Drosophila melanogaster: one gene and its partners. The protein of the gene in region 2 interacts with the protein of the main gene of each other region in a pairwise test. Each region holds a gene or a part of one and is shown on either strand. Other genes may lie near its edges. The genes, in order: Tsp42A, CG6126, sordd2 and Drsl5.

Region 1 (3,988 bases), on a different chromosome or scaffold from region 2:
ATGCCAGTCGTCGCTACAAAACAACACTACTGTATTTTCTCCAAAACGTGCAGCAGCCTATCGTTTTCATTGCAGGCGGTATCTTTCAGATATCCATGAGCAGCAACATAAGTGTAAGTGGTCGCCACTGTAATACATGCTCCTCGAATTGTATCTCATTTTCTACCCCATCACTAGGTGGCAAAGTTTGCTTTCTCCGTGATAACCATTACCAAGCAAATGAATATAGCTGACAAATTTAAGACGGACTAAGGTGGATGGATACCTTTTTTGTCCTTTATTGGATACTCTGCACCCCCGTTCTTCCCTAAAACGAGACCCCCACAAACAATATATTTGCAAAATGTTTGCTTAAATAGGAATTTTTTAGAATTCTCTAAATAAAGACTTCTATTAGCGATTTCACGCAAAACTGCCGCGGACACACTTTTGAGAAACGATTTTATTTTTATACTCATTACTCGTAGAGATAAAGGGTATACTAGATTCGTTGAAAAGTATGTAACAGGTAGAATAAAGTATATATATTCTTTATCAGGATCAAACGCCGAGTCGATCGCCGGATTGTACTCCGTATGAACGTCGAGATCTCAGGCACTATAAAAATAGATTTAGCATACATATCATCAAACCGCCCAAAAATGCAAAGCCCACACTTTTGAAAAATATTTTCACATTTATATTAGTCTTGTAAATTTCTGAAACGCCCACACTTTTAAACCAATTTTGAATTTTTGTTCATTATTTATTACTATTTTTTCCCTATTTCTACCGATAATCCAAAAAATTTAAATTTCTCCTTCCCACTTCCAGCTGAGTAACACGTAACTGATAGTCGGGAAACTCGACTACAGCATTCTCTCTTGTTCTTTATAATATTTTGAACTGTCACTTTCTATCGATTTCCTATCTCCACTCTTACGCCCTTTCATGAGAACTTAGAAAAAATGTTGGGTTTTGTTACGATATTGCTGCCAAAATGTTATCTATATACTTACATTGCGTTGCAAAATACCATCCTAACCTACCTTGAGTCCTTCATTTCGGTTTAGGTCAGGCGACCTGAAATTCAGATTTCAGGATCATAATTTATAGCTTCAGATCTAATCAGTGTATTTACCTTTGTCGCAAAAAAATAAATATACACTGTATATGCCCTAAAGGCATGGGTAATATCACATTCAAAATAGTATTTATGTACTTGAATGAGGGGGACCATATAAAAGCAATTGGGACCGGCACGACTAGATGGGATGGGGCTTATTCTTTGGCGTCCGAGTCGTCTACCAGTTCTGAAGACTCATCCACATCACTAGTGTCGTCGAGCGATTGCACATCTTTAAAGTGTAAAACCATGACGATCATCGCCACAAACAAGAGAACGGATACGATAATATTATCCCTTGCCACATCCATCTCGATAGTCCACAGGTACTGGCTAAGCTTCGCAGTGCAGCCGGTGCAGTTCTGCTTCCCGCAGCAAGAGCCAATGGGCCAGGTGCGGTTGCTCGATGCTGTCTGGTAGTCAACTACGCTGGACCTTCCGCAGCACTCGAACTCTACTTCAACCTTGCCAAGTCTATCTCTCACCCACATCTGCAGCACCAGCATCTCGGCAAAGAACTCGAATCTTTTGCGGTACATGAAGCGAGTCACTCCGATGCTTATTGTGTACAGCAACACCACGCTTCCAACGAGCATATAGCCAGCGTACTTCAAGACGGTGGGTTGTCGGGCCATGTGAATCCCAAGAACAGCGTTCAAAATGTAGGCAACCATTGTCAAAGCGCGCACCCAAAAGAGCCAGGGGCGCAAGGCTACCGGGTATAGACGAAGGCCTGGAAACATGACCGCCTTCAGATAAAGGTGGCTGAGCACGTCAAGCAGAAAGATCACTCCGACCACCACCAGAACCACATTAATCTGGAACACGCAGTCGTGCGACACTCGACACCAGCGAAACGGATTAGCCATTTCGCCGGGTTAGGCTCCAGTTGATGAAAGCGCCGCGTCAGTTGCGCAACACGAATTCCTGTTGTTTAACTTTGAAGTAACGAGACTTCTGCCTGCTGTCGTTCTGACGATTTTCACCTGGCTTCGCTGCTGATTTAAGCCAGTTTGACCCGAATCAAGTTCGTAATATAAACATTTAGATTGCAAGCTCTTTTGCCACCAATGACACTAGTTGCCATGGCTTTAAGTGCAAATGAGTTTACCTCTCTCGAAAACGAAATTATGCACCTGTTGCAGATAGCGCCCTATCGAGAATCGGAACGAGGCGCGAAAAAGGGGAAAAATATGTTTGTGACTTGACGTAAGTCAACCCTGCTTACAGGAATATACCAAAAAAAAAAGCATGACGAAGCGAAATATCCTTACCTAACTATATACAGAGGTGGTCAAAAGTATTTACCCAACGTGCTTTTTTTTCAATTGACAAGAATTGTCAACTAATTGAAAAATAGTTCGTTGTGTAAATACTTTTGACCACCTCTGTATTTGAAAAACAAAAAAGAATGCTTAGTCAAGTTCCCCGACTATCAGATACCCGTTACTCAGCTAGTGGGAATGCGAACGCAAAATTTCATAATTTTTCTGGGATATCGATAGATAGAAAGAAAAATTTTAAAAATTGTTTAAAAAAGTGGACCGTTAGGAAAATGTGGGGGGAGAGGCGTGACCAGTGTTTTTGGTATACCGATAAAATTTGGGAAGGCAAACAATTAAACGAAGTTAGAGTGGGTGTAACAAAAAGATATTTGGCCCATCGATAGAAATTTACAAGCCTAATAAAATTAAAAAAAAATATCCAACATGTTTTCAAAAGCTAAAGTTATAAGTTCATTAGTCTTCATGATTTGACCGATTGGGAATTTCCTGCTGCAGAGTGTATATGGTATGGTAGTATCATCGGATACATAGTGTGGTATCGAAATACTCTATAGCTTTATCGCAGTAGTTCCTTGGTCCACGTGCATTTGTAAACGTTTTTTTGAAGTGATCCCATGCCACCAATAAATCGCGTTTCTTGCGCTTTGGCTTTCTATACTTTTATTTGCTCCTCCCTTAAAACTGTTAAATTACAAATTCCATCTATAAAAACCATTGTATGCATATGGACGTGCAGGTATGTATACATTAAAAAAATAGCAGACTCGGCCTTTGGGTTTCCAAATGTCTCACTCTTGACATTCGGCTTTTCCCGGACTTTTAGCTCTTGGTACCCCGGTACACTAAAACGAACCGTAAACCGTGTACATTCCATTAGCAGCGAATCAATACATAGTACTGATCGCAATCGGTTAACAACGGAAAATTGTGCATGACACCGTTCGGAAACAAACTTGAACAGCGTTGGCGTCATTAGAATCTGTATGCTTAGTCTAAACGTCTTCAGCTTTAATACAATAGTTTTCAAGATCACAACATAAATAGAGACAGACAGATAGTTTGGATGGTTTGACTTGGCTAGTGATCCGATCAATAATATGGTCGAGATCTTTGGAACCATAAATGCCAGAAGGTTGAGGTTAAGCAGGTACAGATTCTAGAGACATAGACGCAGCGCAAGTTTGATGACCCATGTTGCCACGCACTCTAATGCCCACAAATCACCCAAAATTGCCACGCCCACACTTATGAAAAATGCTTTGATAGCTTATCATATTTCTATCGATTTGCCAAAAAAAAGTGTTGTCCCCTTACGTCAACAAACCTCACACTTAAAAAATTTTTTTTGCCCTTTTATCGTTTTATTGTTTATCTAACTAATTTCAACCGATTTGACAAACAACTTTTTGGCCACACCCACTTTAATGCCCAATGAGAAAAATTTTCCTAATTTTATTCCCCAATATCATTTTTGCGTTTGCAATCACACTAGCTGAGTAACGGGTATCTGATAGTCGGGGAACTCGACTAGATCATTCTCTCTTGTTTCCTCACAAATTTCTATTTACAAAATATTTTAAAAAATGTTGAAACTTCT
Region 2 (7,765 bases):
GCGAAATCGTGTAACGATATCGCATCAGATATCGGCATACACATACATACGTTTATAAATCTATATGCCTACGTGTAGTTAAAATTTAAATTGAAAATATATTCAAATTCGAAATGAATGTTCTCAAATGTACCAAACAAAACAAAATGAAGAATTACCAAACAAGAAACAAAAACCGAAAAACCAAAACTCTCTCTTTAAACAAACTTTAATTGGCGGGTTAAACATCATGTGGAGCAAAGGGAAGCGATGGGTTATGGATTTGACATTGGAAATCCCTGTCGGCAATTGGCAATTCGATAGTGCAATTGAGTGGAAATTACTGAAACTTTGCAAGGCCAGACGAACCCGAATTGGCTGTGTCGGTCGGAGAATAAACTTTAATTGGAAATAGTTGGGAAATAATTTTTTGGTGTGTACTGGTTTTACCGTAGAGAAAATTGAAATTCAAGCTATGAATCTGCGCCTAAATTGATAGAGCCTAAAAGTAGACAACACTAATCAGTAAAAATGCTCGTCAAGCATTTAAATTTCCTTTAAACTAAATTTTACCACCGAAAAAATTAAAAGAAAAAATCCGTACAAACAACAAAGGGACACTCAGAAATGAGTGAATCCACAAATTAGGATTCCCCATATTCTGCACATCGTTTTATTCGCTTGGAATGAATAGAAACTATTAAATCTTACTACTAGGCAGAAGAGTAGAATTCTTAACAAGAAAACACAGGGTAACAAGGAATTTAAGCTGGATTTTGGACTTGGGAAACAATCGTCTTTGGCTAGGTTCTACTTGCTCTCGATGTTCTTGAGCGGCACCATTTGCTCCGGATCGTCGGGATATACGCTATTCTGGCGCTTTTTGCGACCAGCACACTGACTGAACCAAGTATCTCCCTTTCCGAAGTTCTCTCCATCCTCAATGGACTCGGGCATGGGCTGGTTCATTGTCTCCGGCAGGAACATAACCCAGAAGCCCGAGATCAGGGCCACCACGCCGAACAGCACGGCCGGTATCTTCGGATCAAATGAGTCCAGCAATGTAATGAGCGGAGTAAGGGCTCCCGACAAACGGGCACACATCGATCCCAATCCCATGGCCGAGTTCCGCACCACGGTGGGAAACAGTTCGGCTGAGTAATTGTAGATTACGGCAAAGGAACCGGCGATGAGGAGCTTTCCTGCCATTACCACCGCCGTGGAGGTGGTGCTGCCCTGGGCAATGTAGGCGGCCACAATGCAGCATAGACCGCCACCCAACATCAGGGTGGAGGTGATCGATCGACGACCCAGGCGATCTAGGACGAACACAATGGTTATGTAGCTGGGGAACTCCACGAGGCCCATGATGAACAGGATCAGGTAGGGATTTCCATACAGCTTGCCGGCACTGAGCGATAGTCCGTAATAAACCAGAGAATTGGCGAACCAGCAGAGGCACACGTTCAAAGTCTTCATCCTCAAGTTGGGCGTGCGGAAGAGGTCGCTCAATCCGGCGCTGGATTTTTCTTCGGCCGCCGCCTGCTGTTTGGCTTTCTGCACATAGTACTCCTTGTCCACCGGGATGCCCGATCCGTTGATTCTCAGGCCCTTGGCCACAATATCCACCGCCTCGGCGGCACGTCCCTGCATCCACAGCCAGCGCGGAGATTCATCGAGCCACCACCAGTGGCCCAGGAACAGACAGCCATGCAGTCCGTAGATCACTTGGAGCCACTGGCGGTCAGGGATGAGTGCTCCCCATCCGGCCACCAACATGATGCCACCAGCGAAAACAGCCTAAAAGTATTGCATGGTATAGCCAGTTTAAAAAATGCAAAATCTATTGAAGTCTTCCTCACCTGGAAGGTAATGCCGCACACAGTACGCTTGGTAGGTCCCACCAGTTCCATGGTCAGCACGAACCCACAGATGTAGGCACCCGCTGATCCCACAATGCCCAGCAGGTAGCGAGCCACCATGAATGAGAAGTACTCGGGAATGAAGGCCACACCCACACCGATGATCAATTGGAACAGGGCCGACCAGCAGAACACGGTTTTCCGACCCACTTTGTCGGCGAGTCCGCCAAGGGTGACTGCGCCTGTGAACACGCCCAGCATGAACACGGTCTGCACAATGGCTCCCATCCAGCGGCGATCGCACACAAAGTTCCAGTCGATGGTGCGCGAAGTCTTGTAGTACGTCGTGTCGTATACGTAACGTTCGCAATTGATGGTGGTATTGGTGCCAGGACTACTGGGATCGAACATGAGGCAGGACTCTAGCTCGCCATTGGGCTTCAGCGGAATGGCGGCCAGGATAGCGCTCGAGTTCCATGGTGTCACCGACAAGCTGCTGTTATCCACGCCCTCGATGAAGCAGCGATGCTCAGGCACGGCGGCCACCGTGACCAGCGATAGCATGTGCATGCCAGCGGTCAGGCCGGAGAGCACCTGCAGGAAGAACTGCAGGAACTGGTACTTTCCAAACTCCCCTGCAATTGGATAGAAAAAAATAGAAAGACATTTCACAATCATTAATGTCTTGGGAAAGGTTATGAGCGCACAACAAATGTGAGCTTTCAGCAACATGATAGATAGTGATAATCTGTAGCACCCATGAATCACCCAGTTTACGATTAAATATAATAAAAAGAAAGTAAGTTGAGCTGAAAACGGAAGTTGTTCTAGCTCAAATTATTTAAAACGGTTTTTTATTTCAGTATTTGAATTTGAACATCACGTAGCTGCGATAAAAACACAACCCAAAGAAACAGCCGACTTTTATGTAGATGGGAACTTTTAATGGGTATCGCTGGAATTGTCGTCACTCCAAAGGCTTTGCAATTAAATCAAGTGGAATTTATTCAATTCGATTTCAATTGAAGCGCATTCGCCTAGCCCGTCAAATATTTGCCCACAGTTTGGTTTGGTTTGGTTTTGGTTTCGAACGCCATGAAAAGAGACTCGGATGTCTTGGGAGAATGCACTGAATCGATTATGACTTGGCTGGTCAGTCAGTCCATGGCGATCGCGTTGATGGGAGGCCAGGGGCTGTGTAAATTTCTAACGACATGGACAGTATGTAGCCTAGATACGAGAATTTGACACTTGATCACGGTCCAATGTTCAATCAGCCGTTTCAATTGATTTGTGGGTTACGTTTATTGATCGTTTAAACGAAACTCTTGCCATCAAATGAAAAGTTACGTTCACCCCGGTTACGTTGCAATCGACAAATCATGAGTAAAACGTCTGAGAATTTTCATTTTTCATTATTAAAACGATTGCGTGAAGTGTAAAATTATGTCATCGGGTTGACTTAATTAATCTCAATTATAAAATTTGACTCTACGCCTAATGAAATTCAATTACGCCCCCAATAGACATAATCAGCGTATAATTGAGCACAATCTAGGAAATCGATTGGCCAAATTTGTGATAACTAAACTCGTAATAGTAAATACTAATGTGGAACTCATAGCGGATTATCAGAGGCCACCAAATGCTAGATCATATATCAGTGATATTGTTGCTTCAGATTTATTGCATCCGTCCAATATAACTAGCCGTATAATTGTTGCCAAGTGGCCCTTGAATACGACATTTGTTTTTGGCCCTGTCAATGTTTGTTGTTCTCTTAATCGTAAGCCATCTATTATGATGTACAAAACCAACAGTTTGCACATTAAAATGAATATGGCGCAGGTTTGGACCGTTGTTTATTCTGGGCAAACTTTTTGAGCGATAAGTGAGATGGATAAGAACACGGAATATTAAAAAATAATGCAGTCATATTTCTAACAATATTGCACATGTATATTAATCTACTGTTATTCTACTATCAACTGTTGCTTTATTTCAGAGTTGATTTCTTCAAAGCTTTTAAAATTTCCTTTGTGCTTAAGTATCATGATTCGAATAATTGAGGTAGATCATGGTTTTACACCTCCACTTTAAGGCTTCCTTCGGTTTTTGTTCATCCGTACTTCAACATTTTCACTTCCCGCGTTTACTAACAACTGAAGGTCGATTTAGTTCTGTTCTGTGCTCTCCACATAGCACGTGTGGAAGTGCTCTCAAAGTCATTTTAAGTTGCTGGTTTTATGGTAACCTTCTTACGTACAAATAACAACCAACTCAGCAATGCAACACGCCTCCAAATTCGAAGTAATTAGAGTTGCTGCTCGCCAATAGGCCTTCAACAAAGTAAACAGAAATAAAAGAGCGATATGTGAATTTTGATGGCTGAGGGAGGTATTGCCATATAGTTGAATGTGAGCAAACCAGTTTAAGGTTTTTTGCATTTCACAGATACAAATGTATGCGAATATATTACGAATAAAAAAGTCGCTAATGCGATTATTACTCCCTCTCTCCTGTCACTTTCTTATAGGCTGCGGTTTTGCGAATGCTTAATACAAAACCAGTTTCGGATTGTAAAAAACTGTTCTATTTTAATTAACGACAATTTCAGCACAATCGTTGACACAAATTTTATATTCCAACTCATATTTTATGTGACTCATAAATTTCTAATTTGTAGCCGTGACAAATAAAACTGTTTATCCATCGATCTTCCACTGTATTCCCACAATTAATCTTAACTATTTTGCATACTGCATATAAACACGCTTAATTTTGTAGCTTCCACAAGCTAGCTGCAATGTTTGAACCGCACAATTAGAGTATATAATAAATTATAAGCAAATACCCAGATATCCGTAGATCCCAAGATCTTTATGACGAGCCTACTTCACAGTCTTGTGACAGATACCGCCCCTTTTGCACCCGTTTTATTTTTGTTTGCCTGTTAGCCGCCACACTCGTTTTAGCGTCACTGTGCTAAAGCCAAGTAGGCTCAACAAGTGTCAGACAGCCTCCAGCTCAGAACTTGGCCCACACGAACATGTGTCGACTATATGTGTACATAAATACATACTTGGTATGGTATATAGTCAAAAGGGGAGCAACAGGTCGGAGTCTCTATCAAGCTGTCATAAATGTCTGTCACTTGGTGGCCTCGACGATTTATTAAATTAAGAATAGTGCAAAATGAAAATGAAAATAGTTGCAATTAAAAAAGTATTATAGTCGGCTTCTTTTGAGCACTTGACGTGACGGACAGCCAGCCGGATAGATTAGGCGGAGATTAAAAGCATAATACGGAAAAATTAATTATAGATTTTAAAAGCAGAACAGAAGGTTGGGCGGTAAACCTCATTGGTCGTCGTGAAACAAAATATTATCCATAGTAGCTTGCAACGCTGATAAGACCTCTCAAAATGATAAGCATAACGCCAGGCTCTTATCAGCACGGGATGGAGACGCCTGGCAACGTAACAGCTGACCTTTCAAAAGTCTTCGCTCCCAAAAGCCCATTCCACTCACCAAGTTTCCCCATCAGGTCCTCCAGTACATAATCCACAGCCATGTTTGATTTTTTATTGATAATCAAAAATAAATGAAAGTAACTGTTTGCTATTGCTTCTTAACAAATCGTCATCTTCTGCAGAAGTGGAGCATGTATGAATGGCACACCAGTGCAGCACTGCTGATAGTTACGGGTCGCGAAGATGCAAAACGAATCCGGGATAAACAACGTGCTCGAGTGAAACAAAATCGCAAACGGAGCGCTCGATCAGCTATCAACTCTTCCGACCGCCGGCAGCATTTGAACTGGCAAAAACTAACTGCGAACTGTGTCGCTCAGCGAGAAAACTGAGTGGTAAATGGCGATAAGGTCGCTCCAAGCTCGCGAGCGAAGAGAGCTTGTGGAGGTCTCCAAAGTTGGGAACTAAAGAGCAAACTCTGCTCGAGGGTAAGAGCTTCAAAAACTGTAATCACCATTATAATCCTTGATGTATGAAAATAAATGATGCCTCTTGGCAAGGATCCCTTAGATTAGAATACGATCAGAAAACTCATACCTTAGCAAGCTTTGATTTGCCTAACACTCAGTGACAAACAAAACATAAGTCACAAAAACACATACAAAAAATACATAAAATTCATTTAAAGTTAATTTTAAAATTATGTGTGAGCCAAACTTATCAGATCCGTCGACATTCCTGTACTTGGATATGCTGGCGGATATTTTAATGCAGGACAGCCTTGAAATGGAATCAGATTTCAATACCAAGTTAAAATTTCTTAAGGAACAGGAACAAATTTGCCTAGACAATGCCAAAAATGTGAGACTCAATGGCCATAGGCAAACAGGATATAAATTTTTCATACTCCAACAGGCACTTCCCATCGATGATACCCTGAGATCAGTAAAGTGCACCATGCTTAGGGTAGAAATGGAGCTGCATGAAAACGAGATTAACCTTATACAGGCGGAGAAAGCAGTTACGAAATTGGAGCAGAGCTATCCGAGTCCTGAGAGTCTGGCAGGCCAAGTGTTTCCTTTGGCAAGTACCACATATCAGGATTTGCTGAGTATGCTGATGTCTTCGAAAAAAACAGTCGATCATTGCAATCAGATCAAAGAGGAGGTCGCGACGTATAATGAGCAGATATCCGCAAAAGTACCTTCCGTAAATTTGGTATGAAATGATGACTAAAAGTTGTATTTAGAGTTTCTAAAGTGAGTGTATCAACAGGTAACCAAGCTTATCGATTACCACAATAATACACTGGAGTCTATGGAAAAAAATATCGAAAAATTGAAGAGCCAGGTCACACAAGTTCAAAAGGAGTTCGAGCAGCTTTATAACGAACATGCACGCCAATTCAACGCACCGTTCCCATGCAAAAAGGTCAAGGAGTTAAAACCAAAAGACACATGTGGAGTACGACTACGCATGTAATCTGATAACACAATATATCCAACGAATATTATAAATGCTTACAATGCTGCAAGTTCAACTTTTCGCTTAAGATTAGGTTTGGTGATCTGGGCTTAAATTTTAGTTGTTGGCATCACGGAAAAACAACACATCGTCGGCTATGATACTGGTGCTAGTCTTCTGGTTGCCCTGCTGGTCGGTGATCTCTCCATAGGTGATCTTTCCCTGCACCATGGTTCGCTGTCCCTTCTTCAAGTATTCCAGCACGGTGTCACGCAGATTGGGCTTGAACACCACTACACGATGCCAGTCGGTGCGTTGGGCCCAGTCGCCGTTCTCATATCTGTGGGGAAATATTTAAGACTTCATGAATGCTTTTTAAATGAAATGGTAGCTATTTTCTTTATGAAATCCGGCATTTCATGGATCCTAAGAAGAAATTGATCACTGAAGTTAATTGAACAAGGAAATGTACACTATTGCCGTTATCATTAGGTAATTACATACAGCAAATGTTCTAATAACTCATTACATAAATCTGAATTAGCAGCTCAACGTGATATTTTCTTGGAGGTTAAGGCTAAGAACTAACTTAATTGTCAACATTTATGTAGCTTTTTTATTTCCCTCCTCTGAGATGTGATTTCAAGTTCAGTTGCAGACGCATGCTGGGCGGCAAAACGCACACAAATGCACTTACTTGTAGTTGGTGTGTGTAGCAACCGAAAAGGTGACCACCGGATGCTCCTGGGATCCACGCAGCTGCGGATCGGCGCCAACTCGTCCCAAAATGGTCACCGTGTTGACAGCTGTGGTTATTTATTCAAAATTAATTCAATTTCATAACTAAACCTAAGAAATACTCACTTTTTTCAACTTTGGCGGGAGCCGCTGCCGTTGTTGTTGTTGCCCCGCGTGCCGGCAAATTTCGCAGGCCGGTCAACAGAGGATTCAGCTAAAAAAAATAACATGTTTGTTCATTGTATTTTG
Region 3 (4,917 bases), on a different chromosome or scaffold from region 2:
CGGACCAAAGTCCACGCTCGCGTTCGATAACTATCGAGTTAGGTGAAAAATCTCGGATCTCAATGAATCCTTTGAAAAGTGATCAGTGATCAGTCCTCGATTGATTTGTAAACAAAATAAACTACTAAATACATTTACAAGACTAAATACTATTCATAAGCAGCTGTTGTGTGCCATGGACAATCGATAGCAGGACTCACTCGACTATCTCTAGTTCCTAACGATCTGGTCACAACAAAGGTCAAGAATTCAATAATTTTATTGATATTAGACTAAACCAAAACAAGGAACAGCTGATTTGTACAACGCTAATGCATCTATAAACGTTTAAGTCGTAATCGATAGCTCACCCACTGTGCAGAAATCACGTGACCATCCCTAATTAGAACTGGCTTCTTTCAAAACAAAGCAAACGAAATTTAAAACTTTTTCAATTTATATGTTCCATTGGTGACTCTGGTTGCAGTGAGCTTCTTGGCACGGAGCAGAATCCTTTATCGGCAATTCCCAGGAGGTGGAGCGCATCACCACAGCCAATTATGGAGCCAGTGATGAGGCGTCCCCCTCCATTGCCAACAAACTGGCCCACTTAAAGGAGGCGATCTTCTAGAGCGATCGGTAGAAGGTACATATATCATACATCTCATACTCAAGATAAGCCGATATCTTCATGTACATACATGCATCCATATCCTCAGCATCTTCGAAATTCACGTTATCCCTGATCCCTAAAAAGAATGTTGTGCAGTTTAAGTTAAGCAAAAACTTAATGATTTTTTTCACCCATCGATAATAATCTACACGGAAAATAAATTAAAATAAATGTTTTTAATGTTTTATAGAATTTAAAATATAAATTTATACAATTTTTGAAATCTACATTTGAATTAAATCATTACGATCCAATTATTTCGAAATTTCAGTTTTTTATGCTGAAGTCGTAGGGTATTGCAGACTTTTTGAAATAATTTGGGACCCAATCCACTTCTGTTTTGCGAATCCTCAAATTACAATTATAACCGAATGCTAACAATTTATGTTAATTAATCACACCAACGACTATAGCCCAACGAGTTTAACAATATTGTTGATTTAACTGGAGGATACTGCTATTTGATTACTTCGCACGCTTTCCATTGACATTTGAATATAGGTTCTTCTTATCGGGATGATCCGTGCACTATTGGAACGAGCAGCCCATATATCACAAAAACGACAAAATGCCAGAACAGTTTTGACAGGGCCCAGGGTTCATCTTCGTGTAGCCTTCTAATATCAGCTAAATACATGGGCAAATGTTATTTAATGTCAATCTCAGAACTATTGAGATGGCATGTAACCTACCAGGTGGACGTGGTTCGAAAAAGTTGAGCCTAGATGTTATGAACCCGAAAGGAAAAGCTCCAATACCGAAAGACATGTGAAATCCGTCGCCGAATCCGAATCCAGGGAACCCGGGAACAGGATCTGGTTCTGTACGTTGTCCAGCGGGGCGTGGTGGAACTTTGTTACTGCAAAACACATATAAGTTGGGTTATTGAAAAATACTCATGTTGAAAGCGGTTCAAACCTACCGTGGATCTTCCTGGTGTGTACTATTTCTTCCGTACAGCGGTATGACCTTATCCTTATCAACGGCAGCCTTACAAACGGGACAGAGTTTGCGATTGGGACGCGTCAGGAGCCACTGATGCAGGCACGGCCAGCAGAACAGATGGCCGCACATGCTGACCACAGCATCCTTGGCGGTGTCCAGGCATATGTTGCACTCGTAGAGTGAGTCGTCTGCGGTATGTTCCTTCTCCTTGTCCTTTTCGTTGGCTTTTGTGTCCGTATCGGTGCCGCCGAATGGATAGCCACCCTTCAGATCGGCCTTATTGCCACCAGATAGATAGTCTCCAGTAAAGGAATACGAAGTGTTGGACTTCTTCAGTTCCGATGCCGTCGAATTGGTTGGAATCGAGGTACCCAGCGGGCGCAATTGACTTGTAGATGACTCCTCAGCCAAGGGTTCTGTGATATCCCGAGTCCAGGCTATCTTGTCGTAGCTCACGTTGTTGGACAAAGTCGATGAGGACGACGATGCCCCGGTTGATGTGCTGGGAAGCTCCGCTGTGGATACACTTTTCGGTTCCTCCATGGTTTGCCCAAGATGCGGGTAAAGTTTTAGTCGTTCAAGCTGCAACGTAACGTTGGATGATTTAGAAACCCAAATTTGCTAAGTAAGTCTGTGTTCACCCTATTGACAAGTGCCTAGATTGCTTAGATGATTTTCCTAGGCCATTTCTGGTGTACAACTAAGGTCCGCACTTTCTTGAATATGACTTAATTTAATTAAATACTTCAAGCGCAGTTTGAAGGGGGTTTCCCCCGAGTTCCGCAGCATTCAGCATTTGTCCGACCCCATGGGGTGGTGTTTATGGCTACGAAAACCGCCCAAAGGGCGTATTTACCACCAAGTCTTCAAGGATAATGCACCGAACATTCCCATTGGCTGCACCCACATAAATTAAACAAAAAAGTCAAATTTTGTTTGAATTGCGTTGGCAAACAAGACGGTATACCTGCATATGTACCTGGACTTATGTGCGTACTTATGTACACATCTACACACTCAAACACTCGCGTGTATATAGGGCTAGAAGGTTTCCATCTACCTGTTACATATGTACATTGGAACCGATTATATGCTTATTTATACAGTACGTATAGATGTCACATAATGTTTTCATGGAGCACTTCCTATTGGAGTCAAGGGGAATTATATGCTCATATACATCGAGTTCCAGGGATTGCGTTTAAACGCATTATAACTTAATTAAACTATATATAACTTCCTGTGGCACAGCAAATAGTATAACTTCTCAAAATTACTTACATTGTAAGTGTATTGTTTGCAAAACCTGACTTGTTTGCCCTCATTTTATTGTTTGTTTTCGCTCACTGTTTGCTTCTACTTGCCGTGCTAAGTATTGTTAAACCGAATCAGAGAATGTTGCTAAATTGATTGTGTGGACAAGTCAATCAATTGACGTCTTAGCACCTCAAAACAATTGCACTGACGATACCTGACCGAGGCCGATAGACCTTTACCCTATCGGTAAATAGCTGCCTGTATAACAGCCCGTCTCCACCGGACCAAAGTCCACGCTCGCGTTAGATAACTATCGAGTTAGGTGAAAAATCTCGGATCTCAATGAATCATTTGAAAAGTGATCAGTGATCAGTCCTCGATTGATTTGTAAACAAAATAAACTACTAAATACATTTACAAGACTAAATACTATTCATTAACAGCTGTTGTGTGCCATGGACAATCGATACCAGGACTCACTCGACTATCTCTAGTTCCTAACGATCTGGTCACAACAAAGCTCAAGAATTTAATAATATTGATATTAGACTAAACCAAAACAAGGAACAGCTGATTTTTAGAACGCTAATGCGTTTAAGTCGTAATCGATAGCTCACCCACTGTACACTGTACACCATCCCTAATTAGAACTGGCTTCTTTCAAAACAAAGCAAACGAAATTTGAAACTTTTTCAATTTATATGTTCCATTGGTGACTCTGGTTGCAATGAGCTGCTTTGGCTGCGGTCGCAAATATGGCCTATTCTGCAAGGAGGCAAGTGCCATCAAACCAAAGCAAACCAACATATATCACCTACTTACATTGTGTTAAATCCGAAATTTTAGTATGGATGCCCCAACTGCGGCTACTCATTCTGCTCCAAGTGCTTGAAGAGACCAATGCCCGTGCCCCGTCATGCAGGAAAGGTGCACAATGTGTGCCTCATATGCTACGACAAACTATCCAAACTCCAGGCGAGCGCCGATGCCGAGAAAGTTATAGACTGTGATGCTTTGCCGGGGATCTTAGTCACCAAAATGAACCTGGCTCCTCCATCCAAAAGTTCAGATGGCGCCGATGCCCTATTCAAGTAAGTAAAATACCACATTAAAACACCGATTCTGAAACTATAATTCGATTAATTGCAGCGACAGCCTGCCTGTGGAGGAGCTGCCACAGGCATTGGTTCCCAGTTCCAGTTCGTCACCACATTCCAAAGATCACAAGGATCATATTGATGAGAACCTGGACAGTGAGTTGACCAAACGAATGCAGGACTATAAACGAGTTGATGCCACCGATGATGAGATCCGCACCCGTCTGGCCAATCTCACTGGGATGCCGCATACGAAAAGCTACGATAAGAAAGATCTGCTACTGTCCACCGACCAAAGAAACGATCAGGAGAAAATGAGGGACTTGCTCGCACAATTCGTTGACGAAGCCCAACTGGATCAAAATATCAGCAGGCAGAGGGATGACTCAATTTCCGACATTGAGAGACGTCTGCGAGCTCTGCGCGATACACCCGTCGATTCCGATGCATGCCCATCGAGATCCCAGATGGAAAGTATCGCGGACAACGAAGAGGATGACGAGACACTTCTACAGAACATATTGAAAAAGGTTCGCATTTATATAGTAGCATTATTTTTTTTAAGCCAAATCATCACTTTCGTATTCCCATTCAGTATGTAGCAGAATCGCGCTTACCAGAACCTTCCGAGAGTGAAATTAGTCCAATTAACACTGAGTCGCCCGGCAACACCGAAGAATTGCCCTGGTGCAATATTTGTAACGAAGACGCCGACTTCCGATGCCACGGATGTGGTGGGGAACTCTTTTGCACTCTATGCTATAAGGAGTGCCACGATGATGACGAGGAGTACCGTGCTCACGTTAAGGAAAAGTATTCGGCTCCGCCAAAGCTTAAAGAAAATCACTTCTAATTGTTAATTGTTTACTTGACTGTACGCAAATTTTTGTTTAATTATAGATTGTTTTCAGCAAATGCATTACTATTGTCTGTATTTATGTGGTGCTAGCTCGCTCATATTTGTGC
Region 4 (3,187 bases), on a different chromosome or scaffold from region 2:
GTTAAAGATTATTTATCGTCAGCGACTAAAACCCGTTTCGTAGATAACAATTAAACATTCGCATGAGCATACATTGAATATATTTGACCCTATCTAACGCAAATAAATTGAAGCAATTGCTTTAATAATAGACTATGGAATATGGATGAGTGACATCTGTATTAAGTGCACGCCCTTGGGTTTCCCAGAAGTTCCTAGTCTAACCAGAGATTTAATTATTTTAGTATTCTGCGTTTTACCTATCTATGTAATGCATGCTGTCCTGCAAGCTACTTCCACAGTTTCAGTAAGCATTCTTGAGAGATAAATAATCCAGATTACATCATATAGTATCGCTGTACGCAGCGCTCTATTTTCTGCAATTATTCATCCTATAAATAGAATAACTTAAGCAGTATTTGAAGCATGTTACAATCTGAATAAAAACAAATTATTTTAAAATATCGTTAAATTTTCAATACTTCACAGACTAAGTCAGAGAATTAAGGTGTTAGCTAGTTTTAATTGAGAATATATTTATATGTACTTATTCATATATTTTGTAATGAATAAGAATAGAAGAAAACCTTTTCGAGTACGTCATCAGTTAATATTAACATTTTTAAGGAACAATCCTTATCCGTCCTTTGTACGTACATTTAAATACCTTAGTATCACATAGTTAGTATCACAGTTGAACCAGTACGAAATAATCATTTGCGTTGCAATAATATATTTAATATTTATTTATAGTTATCAACAAACTATAACATTTAGTAGTTTTCCGGCAATTTAGAGCAACGCGCCTTGAAGGATGGCCTAGCATCCCTCGCACCAGCACTTCAGACTGGGACTGCAGTGGCCACTGGATCGTCCTTCCTCCTTGCACACCCGACGACAGGTCTCGTTGTCCCAGACGGCGCAGGGTCCTCCGTATCTTCCAGAGAGACAGTCGGCATCGGCTTCCTTGGCGCCCAGGATGAAGATGGTCATCACAGCCAGGAAGAGGTACAGGAACTTGATCTGCATGTTGTCGGTTTTGAATCAGAGTGCTGCTGTCGGAACAATTCGAACTTGATTTATGAGTCCAAACCCCCAGCAACCGCTTTATATAGGGATCGGGATCTCTCTGCCAGCTTCGTCGTATTTCTGGAATTGATTGGCAGATAATTGGAGATAATTATTGAATTGTATTTCATGGAAGGGCATACTTTAGGGCTGATAAGACAACGAAAACTGACTTCAAAAAGTATTCTCTTTCGAGATAATGATCATTACGGTAAGTGTCTAAGAAAAGTCGCATGAAATTTCGTTTTCTTTTTAAAAAGTTTCACTGCCATCTTCTCAGTTAGCAGTTGAGTAAGAATGCGTAGTTTTTCTAATGGAAAATTAAAAATGGCTTATTAATAATCTGCCGACATTGATTTTATGCAATGTGCCATTTATCACGAGACTTCTAGGAAACTAATTAAACCAGTTTCATTAATTAAATTTATTCATAAATTGTAAAACTGTCGAGTTTGTTAGGAAAACCCAGAACCGGATTCAAACACCAAACTTGCACTTTTCGATGTAACACGGTTGATAATTTGTTGGAAATATTAACATGACAAGATTATCTTTATTTCCCATAAAGTGATATGGGTGCTGGTAAATGAAGATTTGTGTTCATAAATGAAAATGGCCTTTCCAACTCTTGTTAAGACTGAAATAGTCTATGCTTTTTTTTTCTTAAATGCTTATTATGAGTTGAATTATATATTCCACTTCTTTCTAAATGAATTTTAGCTTTCTATTGAAGTTAACTCTGATTATTTATCATTTAATTATTTCTTCCATTCCATTATAAATCTCATTTTCGAAGTAAATTTATGATTTTAAAAGGATTCGTTCTTTAAGTAGAAATAAAACTGTATTATTTGCTGTGAAGTATATTCTTTATTTTTCTTTTCAAAACAATAAAAAACATATGACACACATATGTGTCAAACATATTGGACGATGAGGATCCTCAGCATTGTTCGCACCAGCACTTCAGACTGGCACTGCAGTGTCCACTGACACGTCCTTCCTCCCTGCAGAGGCGACGGCACTGCTCTCCATCCCAGGCCCAGCAAGGACCACTGAATCTTCCAGATGGGCAATCCACGGCCGAAGCCGAGTTGGCCACCATTAGGACAATGGTCACCACAGCGAGGAGAGCAAACAATCCTTTAATTTGAGCCATTATTAGAATGTTCTTCTGGTTAAAATCTTTACTTTTGAGTTTCTTGAGTCCGACTGCACTCTTATATAGGTACAGAATTTGTATATTAACCGATTAGCATAAAGGTGAAAATGCAAATAACTGCAATATAACTTTCGAAAGGCATACTTTTGGGCCTTTTACGCGACAAAACGCGCATCGCTATTTTGGGATGATAGAATTGCTATACCTTCTTGATGTTGATGCACCTTTTTGTTTAATATACTTACCACATACATATTAAATCAAATCAAGAGATAACTCCTGAAAGGCAATGCTTACGTGCCTTTTACTGTGCGGTGTACAGTATATTTATTATTGGCTCAGAATAAACAAAAAAACAGCATGCACTTTTGAACTGCAGTGGATCTAGCATCCTTCGCACCAGCACTTCATTGCGCCACTGCAGTGTCCACTGACATGTCCCTCCTCAATGCAGAGACGGCGGCACTTTTCTCCACTCCAGGCCCAGCAAGGACCTCCGAAAGTTCCAGATAGGCAATCACGTGCCAAAACAGTGTTGGCCTCCATTAGGACAATGGTCATTACAGCAAGGATAGCAAACAGGAATATCATCTGCACCATGACAACTGATGTTTTCAACGAGTCGGGAATTTTACTTGAGTTCTTAAAGACTTTTGGCATCGACCACTCGTGGGGACGCTTATATAGAGATACAGATTTTAAGATTTTTTATTTGATCGTAGCAATCGATAAGCTTCTCGGAAATTCAAGCTAACAATAACCGATATAATCCTAGTTTTCCAGAAACACTTGATTTATGTGTGCCATGTGTCAACTTCATTGATTTAAAAATGCATCGTTATCATAATAAGTTATTTACCTAGAATTGCTATCTTTTCGATTTAATGATGTATGTAAACATTCACTTCTCCTAACACATTGCCATACAGGAAATTAAAAGACAACAGTGCGTATGAGTGATAAGCGTAAGAGGCCTTT

Evidence for each region.
Region 1: the proteins of CG6126 (region 2) and Tsp42A interact in a two-hybrid assay, tested with the Drosophila melanogaster proteins (one large-scale study listed by BioGRID).
Region 3: the proteins of CG6126 (region 2) and sordd2 interact in a two-hybrid assay, tested with the Drosophila melanogaster proteins (one large-scale study listed by BioGRID).
Region 4: the proteins of CG6126 (region 2) and Drsl5 interact in a two-hybrid assay, tested with the Drosophila melanogaster proteins (one large-scale study listed by BioGRID).

The regions. Positions count from the first base shown.
Region 1 is NT_033778.4:5,793,459-5,797,446, reverse strand, and holds Tsp42A (tetraspanin 42A), read right to left. Parts: upstream 2,035-3,988; 5' UTR 1,975-2,034; coding exon 1,261-1,974; 3' UTR 1,121-1,260; exon of another isoform or gene 1,099-1,120; intron 1,063-1,098; 3' UTR 999-1,062; intron 938-998; 3' UTR 737-937; downstream 1-736. Other genes in the region: Or42b (odorant receptor 42b), read left to right, coding at 1-113, 178-252.
Region 2 is NT_033777.3:16,197,419-16,205,183, forward strand, and holds CG6126 (uncharacterized protein), read right to left. Parts: upstream 5,666-7,765; 5' UTR 5,416-5,665; coding exon 5,373-5,415; intron 2,477-5,372; coding exon 1,842-2,476; intron 1,780-1,841; coding exon 790-1,779; 3' UTR 582-789; downstream 1-581. Other genes in the region: CG31287 (uncharacterized protein), read left to right, coding at 6,017-6,175, 6,230-6,532, 6,590-6,796; mtSSB (mitochondrial single stranded DNA-binding protein), read right to left, coding at 6,896-7,118, 7,476-7,584, 7,643-7,730.
Region 3 is NC_004354.4:15,796,093-15,801,009, forward strand, and holds sordd2 (suppression of retinal degeneration disease 1 upon overexpression 2), read right to left. Parts: upstream 3,071-4,917; 5' UTR 2,879-3,070; intron 2,180-2,878; 5' UTR 2,141-2,179; coding exon 1,575-2,140; intron 1,512-1,574; coding exon 1,345-1,511; intron 1,280-1,344; coding exon 1,161-1,279; 3' UTR 816-1,160; downstream 1-815. Other genes in the region: CG15602 (uncharacterized protein), read left to right, coding at 3,582-3,629, 3,701-3,945, 4,004-4,481, 4,547-4,804.
Region 4 is NT_037436.4:3,314,656-3,317,842, reverse strand, and holds Drsl5 (Drosomycin-like 5), read right to left. Parts: upstream 1,063-3,187; 5' UTR 1,009-1,062; coding exon 799-1,008; 3' UTR 699-798; downstream 1-698. Other genes in the region: Drsl4 (Drosomycin-like 4), read right to left, coding at 1,991-2,206; Drsl3 (Drosomycin-like 3), read right to left, coding at 2,594-2,809.